Schizosaccharomyces pombe: one gene and its partner. The protein of the gene in region 2 interacts with the protein of the main gene of each other region in a biochemical or structural test. Each region holds a gene or a part of one and is shown on either strand. Other genes may lie near its edges.

Evidence for each region. The genes of interacting proteins can lie anywhere in the genome.
Region 1: the proteins of rad9 (region 2) and rpa2 form a complex in vitro, tested with the Schizosaccharomyces pombe proteins (one study listed by BioGRID).

What each region holds. Positions count from the first base shown.
Region 1 is NC_003423.3:2,005,946-2,010,784, forward strand, and holds the start of rpa2 (DNA-directed RNA polymerase I complex subunit Rpa2), read left to right. Parts: upstream 1-2,140; 5' UTR 2,141-2,173; coding exon 2,174-4,839. Other genes in the region: mtm1 (Mn(2+) ion transporter), read left to right, coding at 23-1,030. UniProt on the Schizosaccharomyces pombe protein: DNA-dependent RNA polymerase catalyzes the transcription of DNA into RNA using the four ribonucleoside triphosphates as substrates. Second largest core component of RNA polymerase I which synthesizes ribosomal RNA precursors.
Region 2 is NC_003424.3:1,711,852-1,719,422, forward strand, and holds rad9 (checkpoint clamp complex protein Rad9), read right to left. Parts: upstream 3,866-7,571; 5' UTR 3,686-3,865; coding exon 3,581-3,685; exon of another isoform or gene 3,528-3,580; coding exon 3,194-3,527; exon of another isoform or gene 3,137-3,193; coding exon 2,523-3,136; exon of another isoform or gene 2,467-2,522; coding exon 2,239-2,466; 3' UTR 2,069-2,238; downstream 1-2,068. Other genes in the region: ribosome biogenesis protein rlp7, read left to right, coding at 966-1,088, 1,306-1,932; bfr2 (traub family ribosome biogenesis protein), read right to left, coding at 4,362-5,562, 5,624-5,723, 5,770-5,817, 5,860-5,869. UniProt on the Schizosaccharomyces pombe protein: Acts in DNA repair and mutagenesis. Involved in promoting resistance to ionizing radiation and UV light, as well as regulating cell cycle progression after irradiation. Repressor of entry into mitosis that is activated by chromosome breaks.

The sequences.
Region 1 (4,839 bases), on a different chromosome or scaffold from region 2:
CAAACAGAGTCAGAGAGAATACATGCAGATAGGAGCTGCGACAGAAGGCGTAGAAGCTGACTTGTCGGTGAATGCTGAGCCCGATGTGAAGCCTATAGCGAAAATGCTGTCAGCTTGTGTAGGAAGTGTAATTACAACGCTGACTGTAACGCCTTTAGATGTTGTGAAAACCCGCTTGCAGAGTGAATCTATTTCTCAATATTCTTCTACGCAACCCATTTCTTCAGCAAAGATATTGGGGAAGGGAAGGCCAGCTCCAAAGCCTTTAGGAGGCCCGGTATCCGGACTTTATCAGATCGCTCGGCATGAAGGTGTTAGAAGCTTGTGGCGTGGATTAGTTCCTTCATTGACAATGCTCTTGCCAGCAAACACTGTACAGTTTCTTGGGTATGAGCAATTACTTCCCTTATACAGTGATTGGGGCTTTCCTGCTGCTGCTGCAATCGCAGGAGCATCTGCGCGCACAATATCTGCTACTATTGTGTCTCCTATAGAATTATTCAGGACTCGAGTGCAAGCAGTAGGCGGCCATTATCCGCCCGGCCATGCGCGCGAGATTGCTAATGAGGTCTTTGATGGATTGAAATTAATGATTCATCAAAAAGGTATACTGAATTTATGGAGCGGTGTCAGCGTAACGTTGTGGAGAGATGTACCATTCAGTGCATTTTACTGGTGGTCGTATGAGAGAATTCGACTCTTCCTGCTTGGGCATCCATCACTTCAAGCATTTTCCAGCTCTCAATCTACAAAGGACCTCTATATCAATTTTGTGAGCGGAGGAATTAGTGGGACTCTAGCAACCCTATTAACTCAACCTTTCGATGTATCAAAAACTGCTAAGCAGGTGCATGGACATACGTTAACCAGAGGTCAGTTTATGTTAACCTTATGGAAGCGAGGTGGTCCCAAGGCCTTGTGGAAAGGCACGTTGCCTAGATGTGTTAAAGTTGCACCGTCCTGTGCAATCATGATTTCAAGTTATCATTTAACTAAAAAGTACTTTTCTGAGTCTGTTGATGCTTATTAATTTAGACGTTGATTTTCAGGTTTTGGTTGGCTTGATGAAACCTTTGTTCTTTTTTTTTCGGTTTAATGTTTTCATCTCTTTTCTTACAGGATTCCATTTATGTTGATAATTCCCCTCTCGCAACTCCATTTCTATTTGTAGTCTATATGTTTACTATAATACAGGATTCAAAAATGCAAATCGAAAGAGTCTTGAAAGTAAAATAGGTTGGGTTAATTTACGAAGCGTAGAAACTAAAAATTAATATTTTTTAATTTCTGATATTAGTCTCTAAAATAAAGCCATAGTAGAACAAGCTTGCTATGTTTTTACCAGACATTGAAGCTAATGCTTTCATTATATACCCATTGTTGTTCTTTTTAAAAGCTTTTTCAATGGTTGAGGATACATATATTTTATTCAATGTTTTTCTTTTCCGTTATTGAAAAGCAGAAACAGCTCGGGCCAAAAAGTTTAGATCTTTGAAGAAAGCGATTTTTAAAGTGGGAGCTTTTGTTATCCGTTTATTTTATATGAATTGACTAGACTAGAATCGTATATAACGAAATTATTTCTAAAATAAATATTGAAAGTGATAAAAAAAAGCCCTTTAACAAGATTTTTTTTAAGATACTAAGACAAAGCAAATTAAATATTTATTAGGTTTCATTCAACTGATCGGTGATATGAACTGTAACAGGGCAATGGTTACTTGTGTTTAAGCTTTTCTTCTTGAATTTACTGAGATAAGCAACAAGTAAGGACTTGCAGGAGACATTCTAAAATATCAATAAACAAATTCTTTATAGCTTCAATTGCGGTATAAATCAAATATTAGTAGCGTCGATCACCAACTTATCTGTCAGCGTACAGTGAGTACACTTTCGATAACACTTTACCTTTTCTATTACTCTTCAAAGACAATGGATAGTCGTTCATTAATAAAATCAAGCAAGAACACTACCCAAAAAGCGATTTACTATTAGAATTGAATTAGGCAGTGGAATGAACAACGCTATACTATTGCATATTCCGCACTTCAGCGCCTTAATGTTTAAACCATTTTACCGCTTTTCATTAAAGCTTGTTAAGTGTTCGCTTAACGCTCAATTTAGTATGAATATAGCAGGTGTCCTCCGCCAAAATTTTCTCTGCAAACCTGGGATGTCATTCCAAACGTTAGAGCGAGAAAGGACGTTTAAAAATCCGCCCAAGGACGGAACGAGCTTTCCAGATTTGCAAAAGGCCGTAAAACCTCATGTTGATTCCTTTAACGCCCTTACTAATGCCGGACTACTCAACTATGCTGTTAAGGAAATTGGTGAGAAATGTGCATTTGACTCGATCACACAAGAAGAAGGTGGTGCATTGAAATTTGGAAATAAGATTTCCTTCCGCGTTGATGAGGTTCAAATTGCGAAGCCAATGTTGTCTAGTCGTGAAAGGTCTTCTATTAACCGCAAAGTCTACCCTGCTGAAGCCAGAGAGCGTTTGACTACTTATAAATCAAGATTGGTTCTTAAATTCTCATGGAGTGTCAATGGAGGCCCTAGACAATCAGAAATGCGTGAAGTAGGCATGATTCCCATCATGGTACGGTCCAACAGATGTCATCTGGAAGGATTGTCTCCTGCCGAACTTATTGCTCATAAAGAGGAGAGCGAAGAGATGGGCGGTTACTTTATCGTTAACGGTATTGAGAAGTTGATTCGTATGTTAATTTTACCTAAGCGCAATCATCCTACTGCCATCATTCGCCCTTCTTTTGCCAATCGTGGTACTAGCTACTCACAGTATGGTTTATCTATTCGTTGTGTCCGTCCAGACCAGTCTAGTTTAACCAACACCCTTCATTATCTTAACAATGGTGTTACGATGTTTCGTTTTCACTGGCGTAAAAACGAATATTTAATTCCTTCGATGATGATTCTTAAGGCCCTGTTAGAAACCAGCGATAAAGAAATTTTTGAGGGCATTGTTGGTAAAGATTTGGGAAATACTTTCTTGACGGATCGTGTTGAGCTTATGCTTAGAGCTTATAAGTCCTATGGTCTTTACTCCCAAACTGAAACACTTCAGTATTTGGGTAGCAAATTTCGTGTTGTTCTCGGCGTTGCTGAAGACCTAACTGATGTTGAAGTTGGCCGCTTTCTCTTACAAAAGGTTGTTTTAGTTCACCTTCGTGAAGCTAAGGATAAATTCCGCCTTCTCCTATTTATGATCCGCAAGTTATATGCACTTGTAGCTGGAGAGTGCTGTGCCGATAACCCTGACTCTCCACAACATCAGGAAATTTTATTAGGTGGTTTTCTTTATGGTCAAATTCTTAAGGAGAAGATTGAGGATTGGCTAAATAGCATCCGCGCTCAAATTAATTTGGATGTTCGACGCTCAGCGCCTGGTGTTGATTTCTCCGATCGTAAATACTTGACCCGTGTCTTTTCTAAAATTAACAATGACATCGGAACGAAATTACAATATTTCTTGAGTACCGGTAACCTTGTTTCCAATACTGGTCTTGATTTACAACAAGCTACAGGTTACACTGTTGTCGCCGAGAAGTTGAACTTCTACCGCTTTCTTTCACATTTTCGAATGGTACACCGTGGTGCATTTTTTGCTGAGCTTAAAACTACTACTGTCCGTAAATTGCTTCCTGAAGCTTGGGGTTTCATGTGTCCAGTTCACACACCCGATGGTTCTCCATGTGGTCTTTTAAACCATTTGGCTAGAAAATGTGAAATTGTCACCCATCCTTCTGATGTAAGTCAAATCCCATCACTTTTGCTATCGTTGGGTGTTGATCCTCCAAGTGTAGTTGGTCATGAATCTGGTTGGGGATGCGTACAATTGGATGGAAAGATTGTTGGTTGGTGTACTTACAAACTTGCTAAGCACGTTGCTGATGTGCTACGTTTAATGAAAATTGAATATGCTGTCAAGTTGCGTAATGGAACTGCCACTGAACCTGCTAAGGTCCCTTTAGATTTGGAAATTGGATATGTGCCTCCGTCTCATAACGGGCAATATCCAGGTCTTTATCTGTTTAGCAATCCTGCAAGGATGGTTCGACCGGTTAAGCACATTTCTACTGGTGAACTTGATATGCTTGGTCCATTTGAGCAAGTTTACATGGATATTGCATGTTTCCCTAAAGAAATCGTTCCTAAAGTTTCTACTCATGTAGAGTATTCGCCCACAAATGTACTCTCCATCGTTGCCAATATGACTCCATTCTCAGACTTTAACCAGTCTCCTCGTAACATGTATCAATGTCAGATGGGTAAACAAACTATGGGTACGCCTGGTACGGCCCTTCGTTATCGTACTGACAACAAACTTTATCGTCTTCAAACAGGACAAACACCAGTTGTTCGTCCTAAGCTTCACAATACCTATGGCCTCGATCATTATCCAAATGGTACAAACGCTGTTGTTGCCGTTATCTCATACACTGGTTACGATATGGAAGATGCTATGATTTTGAATAAATCTGCTCATGAGCGTGGTTTTGGTTATGGTACTGTATATAAGGGTGAATCTTTTGACCTTTCCCAAAAGCGTCGCAGAGGTGAACCAGTCGTTCACCATTTTGGTTTTGCTCCCGGTTCAACGCCTCGTCGCGAATGGTTGCAAAAGTTAGACGCCGACGGGTTACCTTTTATTGGAATTAAACTTGAGGATGGAGATCCCATTGTCGCTTACTATGATGAATCTACTGGTCAAAATTTTATTGAAACCTATCACGGTACTGAGCCTGGTTTTGTTGACGAAGTTAGACTCCTTGGTAATGATGTTGGTGATTCCGAGTGTCAGCAAATTCATGTTAA
Region 2 (7,571 bases):
TTAATGGATCAGGCAGAACTGGAGTATAAATATTTTGTTTGAATTTGGGTAACTTAAGCTTTTTATGTACATTCGCAAACAGTATTGTATCCAGTAGCAGAAGTGGAAGCTAGTTCACTTAAAAAATTTTAAGTAGTTTCACTAAAATTCCTATTTGCATATAACATTGGTGGCTGTTTAAGAGCGTGGTAAATATTGTAGTCTCTTGAGTTTGTAAGTCGTACAGTCGTATTGATAGAATAACCTTGTAATTTCATTTTGAATTGCAAGGGCTTTCATGCATTTTCTTACAGTATATGTAAATTTGTGTTTATCAATTGTTTCCTTTTAATAATTGCTTTCTGATTTTTATAAATGTATATGATTATTTTACATAAATTGCGTGTGGAAAACTATATTTCATCAATGTCACATTTTTTTTTTCAGTTTAGGATGAATGACATTTAAACGGCTACCCTAAGAAGTTAAGGGCTAATAATACAATTATTCAACTTCTCATGTGTTTTCGCACTGTTTCGATTAATGTTGTGCAAAATTTATCATCTCCATATCCCACGTCCCTGAGGAGTTTGAGCACCAGGTGATTACATTCAACATTGATAATATTCCTATTAAAATCGTTTGTATATCTTTTAAACATGAATTTCAATGGTACAAGGTCAATTAGATAAAGTTTGGTCTTGGTTATTAGAAAGAGATGCTTCGATATGGAAGGAGCAATCTACTATTGTGCAATTTTTGTTATATTGTCAAATTAAATTTGCCATAGTTTTTAAACACCATTTTTTACCTTTAAGTACACATTTCAAAGCCTATTTGAAAATCGCTTCAAAATTTTTTTGCGCTTATTAGCGGATTGTAACGAAGAACATTATGTGTCTTAAAGCAGTCACATTTCATAGCTATAATTTTTCGTCTGTCTATAGTCCCAACGTGCCCTCTACTCGTTACTAACAGACGATAAAATGGCGGAGGATGCACCGGTTGTACAACAGACTATGCTTGAACCTGAGGTGCTTTTAAAAAAGCGCAAGGTCAATGAGCGTACTCGGAAAGAACGTGTTGAGCAGGCTATTGCCAAAAAAGAGGTATGTGAATTGCTTGTTCTACAGGTTTGAAATATCCATAATATACATATTTATATGAAAAAGATGAACCTTTCACTCTTGGATTGCTAGTTTCGACGATGCTGCTCCAAAATACCATCTTTCGGCTGATTCATATATTTTGTATTGGTTAAATTTAAACCTTTGACTTCATCAATTTTTATATATTGTTAAAAACATTTTACTAATTTTACTCCAGGCCCAGAAGAAAAATCGTAAAGAAACCTTCAAAAGGGCTGAGACTTTTATTAATAACTACCGCCAACGAGAAAGAGAACGGATTAGGTTAAATCGATCTGCGAAAAATAAAGGAGACATTTTCGTGCCTGATGAAACAAAACTTCTTTTCGTTATTCGAATTGCCGGAGTCAAGAATATGCCTCCTAAAATTCGCAAAGTTCTGCGCTTATTACGCCTTTCTCGAATTAACAATGCCGTTTTTGTGCGAAATAATAAAGCCGTTGCTCAAATGCTTCGAATCGTCGAACCTTATGTTATGTATGGTATTCCCAATTTACATTCTGTTCGTGAACTCATTTATAAACGTGGCTTTGGTAAGATCAATGGTCAGCGTATTGCTCTCTCTGATAATGCATTAATTGAGGAGGCCTTGGGCAAATATGATGTTATTTCCATTGAAGATATCATTCATGAAATTTACAATGTAGGCTCTCATTTTAAGGAAGTTACTAAATTCTTATGGCCATTCACTTTGACTCCAGTTAAACACAGTTTGATGGAGAAAAAGGTCAAACATTTTAATGAGGGTCGAAAGGCTGGCTATTGTGGAGAAGAAATTAACGAATTGATTAAGAAACAAGTTTAAAACTTTCTTTGAGTTCGTGTAATGACTTAAATTTTGCATTCAGATGAAAATGCAAAAATGTATATTAGACTTTTTATAGGCCGTGGATTGGAATTTAATTAATTGGGTTACATTATTCACTATCTTATTGATTTATTAGAACTACTATGTAACGTATCGTATGATGAGGGTAATTTTGTAGTTAAAAAAAACTAAATTATTGATAAATATTGTACATTATATAATATGAGTGCTGTGTTTTATGAGGTTGTCACAAGCACCTGTAAATGTTCATAATTTTACACACCATAGCAAAGAAGGATTTTCCTAGTCTTCCTGAGAGAAAATGCCATGATAACTTTGTTCAGCTTGCGTTGGTCCAAATTCGGCATCATCGTTCACATCATTATTAAAAGCAGCAAGCTCGGATTCATTAGGAATACCATCTAAGAACAATGATTGACCAGCATCGTTTGTGGTTGATGGCTCCTTAATGCCATTAGTTTCGTCGCTTCGGTCAAGCGCAGAATTAAACATTCTGGATGAGTCACTTTGCTATAAAGTTAATGTTAATAAATTATTGTACTTAGTACTAAAGCCGAATTACATACATCAGTTTGCCATCCAATAGATCCAGGGGGATTATGTGCTACAGCAGTCAATGAGTTGTTGCGCTCTACTGAATTGAACAGAGAAGCTGGTGTTGAACTGTGCTGCCATCTATTTCCCATCATAGATGACACCTCTTGTTCATCTGATCCAACTACAGTTGCAAGAATGAACTGCGCTTCAATTTCGGAATTTTTCCCTTTTGCAAAAGTTAAAAGTATCGGTTTTCCTGGGACACCGTAATATGCACAAATCGAGCTTCCCAATGCCTCTGCTAAAATGACGGCAGCACGAAATTCACGTAGAGAAAGGGTAACAGAGACTCCCTCATTAAGTGCGACGCGTTCAAATTCTTTACCATCAATGGAAACAGTTGTTTGGGTAGGTTGCTTCAAAATATCTCTATTATGTACGACCTCTTCTGTGAAACTTGTAAGTAAAACACGTTCTTGAAGTGGTTGAATTGTAAGCTCTTCCGTTCTCTGACCAAAATGTTCAGTCAAATCTTTTAGAATTTTTGAGTTTATTTGAAAATTATTGTGACTAAGAGATTTATCAAAAACAGCGTGTAAAGTTTGGGTTTGTTCATATGATATTTTATATGTTTTAATCACTCCTTGATGAATAAACGTTAGTAGAGCAAATAAAATAATAAGACGGACAAACTACGTACCGTGCTTGCATAAGAATTTAAATATAATCCTACACTCGCTACCAGTAGAGATTGAGATTTGAACATTCTCGACAATCACATCTTTTCTGCTTGCAGATTCACTGCCATAACCGTTCTTGCTATTGGTAGTGACGACAGTCGGGATGAAATCAAAGATTTTGTTTCTAAACACAGATAGTATGGGCTTGACTTGCGTACGAATACGTATTGTAGGAGTCATCAATCCCGTCAACAGGACGGAATCCGGCTGAAAAATGTACTTGTCAAAAAATGCCTTTTTTAAAGTCACCATGCTAAATCCTGACCTAGAAGAATTTAAACATGTAATCTCTATCTTTACCAATTAGTTTCAATGTTTAGTAAGGTTTGAAAAAAGTTCCAACACACCTGATTTTTGTTAATTTCCCAGTTGACAGCATCATCGATTCTAGAAAGATTTGTAAAGATCCTTGCGAGGTCCCGAAGATTAACATTTGAAACAGTGAATTCCATTTTATATACCAGTACGTGAATTGATGTAGACGAATGCTGAACGAATAACGATAGTTTCTAGTCGATATGACGATTAATTTCTTAATTCATGCTAATAGAAGTAAATAAATCTCGACAATTTTTGACAAACAGAATTGAAACTGGTATATACAGAGGTAAATCTATAATGTGGTGTTTTCTAGCACCTGCTTTAACGCACTTATATTAGTATAGACACGCGCGCCGAAATTTGTACGAAAGTGTAATGGCCAACATCAATCGCAAAATAATCTGTATATACACAATGAATTGTAATAAGAAGAAACTTATAGCTGCTTTTAATTTGCAGCAGAAAGAGTTCAACTGTACATCATATAAACGTACATACTTTTATGCTTAAAATACTAAAGTGCACAAAAACTAAAACCTTCAGCCCAAGATAACCCTTTATTACTTGTAATTGCCCGACATTGTGACCATCTATGTAACCATATATATGTTAAATTTTTTTATTAACCTAAATAATTGTAAACGAAATATATTATAATAGAACCAAAATCCGCGAATGCCCTTTTTAAAACCGAAAAAAGATATACTGTAAGTAAAAATAATCATGCACCCTAAATGTTTAGCACAGCTTGCGTATATTAAAAAAAAGACAAATAGTGAAGCTTATCCAACACGCACAAGCTTATTTTCAACCGAAGAGAGAAAATCCGTCGTTGGAAGAGATCAGTTCATCATCCTTCTCCACGAAGTTTGAAGTATTTGTATCATTAGCTGTCTCTGATAAATCTAATTGTTGACCCAACAGACTACTAAACAAATCTTCAGTTTGTTCATCCGGCCATACAGTCACTTCAATGGGAGCCATAAAATTTTGTAATTTATCATGAACGTGATACCTTATTTTTCGACCTTTGGATGCCTTAGTATCAACGTTTTCTTTCTTCTGTTTTTGCTTTTTTGTAGCCATCCAACGAACAGTGCCATCTCGAGTAGAGTCTGCCATTCTAGAATTAATGAAATCCTTCAATAATGATTGATAAAAATCCGTGTCGTTGTAAATTTCGGGATTGAAAGTTTTGTTGTTAGGGTCACTGTAATCAATTCTAGTGCGCTCGACCAAATCTTTCTTGTTAATCATAGAATTTTCGATTTGTTGAACAATACTTTGATTTAGAGCCTTGAATTTGTTAGATTGCGAAATCCCTTGCACTGCTTGAACCCGATTATGCCATTTGGTTAAAGTATCATTTTTCCACTCATTCAAAGAGTCGTCAAGGTTATTCATTTCTAAAGCAATTTCTTCTAGACTAACAGGATTCTCTTTTCTTTTTGATCTACTGTCAAGAATTTCCACTCCAGAGTCAATAAGTAAGTTTTTCCTCAGCTGTAAAGTGTGTTGAATAAAAGATACTAAACCATCTCGGGCTTCTACTTTATCACCTTGAAGTTGGTTGCTGGAAGAAAGAAGTTGACTACATCCTTTTTGAAGACGGATTCTAGTATCTAAAACATTATCGTAAAAACGCATCTGCTCCTTCAAAGCTAAACCCTTTTTCATGTCTTCAAGGGCGGATGTACGAATTTGATCAGATAGCTTTTTCTCTCCATTTATAATCTTTTTTAAACGATCCATGTCTTTTTCAGGAATGGCAGAAGATTGGTCGTCATCTTCATTTTCCTCAGAAATTGATGAAGCTTCTGAGCTTGAAAAATTTTCGTGATCTTCTGAAACTGCATCATTTTCGTCTTCCTCCGAATCTTCTTCTTCAGATGGTGATGAAGATTGAGAGTTTAAAGAACCGCTATTAAGTAATTCCTGGCGAGACGTTTTTCTTCCTTTAAATTTTGGGTCTAACTGAGGAGCCTGTTTTGAGCGTAATTTACTTTCACTATAAAATATGAAACATTAGTATAAGCTCAAATACGCAAAAGTAAAAATTTTGAACATACCTAACATCAACATAATGTTCTCTCCCTAAGGTATCGTTTTCTTCTTCGCTAGAGTCCTCTCTATCAGAGAATGCGTCCTCTAAAGCTTCAGGGTCTCTTTCTATTTATGTGAGTAAGAATCCCGGAATTTTTCGTTAATAACATACCCTGCGGTTGAGGGTTTAGCATCCCTGCCAATTCATCTTTTAAAGAAACTAAAGATTTATTAGAACCTAAAAATATCTTATTGAACTTACCTTTACCCATTTTGAGCAAATTTTGATGTGTCTGGGACTGGGTAAGTGAAGGGGTGTGGGTTAGCAAAATTATCATTGTATGAAATAAATATAAGAATGAAGTTTGAAGGCATTTATCGGATTCAGCTAGTACAGACGAGGTTATATTACTTTGTTTGAAATAAATAATATGGTTTTTATGAAGCAACCAAAAGTTGAAAAAACGAACACAGCACGAGAGTTGATTATATTAGTAAAACGACGTAGAGAATGCAACCGACTAAAGTATCGATTTTTAAAGGGCTAAAAATTGTTCGTTAAAGCTCAAGGTAAAAACTCGGAAATTCCCCACATCTTGCTTCTTTCTGTCTAGACAATGTAACTAAACAATTACCAATTTATTATTTTATTGTTTGACTGTGTATTATGCTAACGAGTATTATGTCTCTCTAAAACTGTTATAAGAATAGGAGTTGAGTTTTGGTAAGTGTATGCTTGCTGTTTCCAATAAAAGCGGTCTCTATTTAACTTGTTGCTTATTTTTAAAAAGCAAAAAAATATCTTAAAACAGTGTTGATTTTAAGTAATGTTTACAATTAAATTCAAAAATTTCGTTACACATACGATTCGAAAATGGGGTGCTGCTGTAAAAGAACGAGACGTAAACTCTTATACTTAAAAAAATAAAATAAAATCTAATTTGTTTTTTTTAAAGTTTCATACCTTGCTTTTGTCAATATTATTCCAATACCCTTGCATACTGCTTTTGCTCAATAATATTTTAAATCGAATCGGTAACAGAGTATATGTGAAAGAAAATAAAAACATTTAAAAAAAAGTTTTTCAAAAAATCTGGAACCAAATGAATTGGGCATTGAAATACTATTTGTCCTTGATAAAAATCTTTGCCCATGTAAATAAATCCAGGATTAGACTAACACATCAAAATTTGAATTAATCGATGAGTTAAAATGAATCGCTTTCGACCCTATTATATTAGTTTTATATCAACTATAAGAAAAAAGTTCCTAAAAACAATTTGTAATATCATAAACATCGATGTTGCAAACCATTATTAGACAGATAGATGAAAGACTACAAAATCAAATACATTTAATACCGATTTTCTATTATCTATCTTTCATGGAATATCCATTTTCAAAGTGCTCATTCATAAACATTGAATGAATTGTGCATTCATCGCCATATTATTCGGCCTCGCTTACTAGTCGATCAATTGGGATTTTCGAAGGATCTACCTATCGATTTAGAAATTTTTTGCCAATATGCGGTTTTTAAAAACAAAAGATATGAAAGATATTTTAGTCAGTAAAATGCATTTGTTAGTTTTGCCGGCTTCACAGTCAAAACCATGTTTTCGGTTGTATAAATTAGATATGTGGTTTGCTCCACCAATTTGCCTCCCGCTTATTTCTCTCAACTTGCACGCACACAGCAAACTCGAGCCGTTCTCTTGAGAAGCAAGGATTTCTTCCGTTGAATTTATTTAAAGCTAACGCTATTCAATTATTGATTAGCCTTGTTGATTTCTTCATGCTAATATCGTAAAAAAAAGGTGTAGAAGTTGCGGTTGGCTTTCTTTAGTCCATTTTGGGTCATTTTTCCCCAAAAATTAAATTTGTTAAATTAGAAGTTCTTTTCATTTTCTTCATCCATACCCTCTTCTCAAAGGTTTTGTGCAAGATTCCTTAATCTTGGTAAAGGTATTTTTT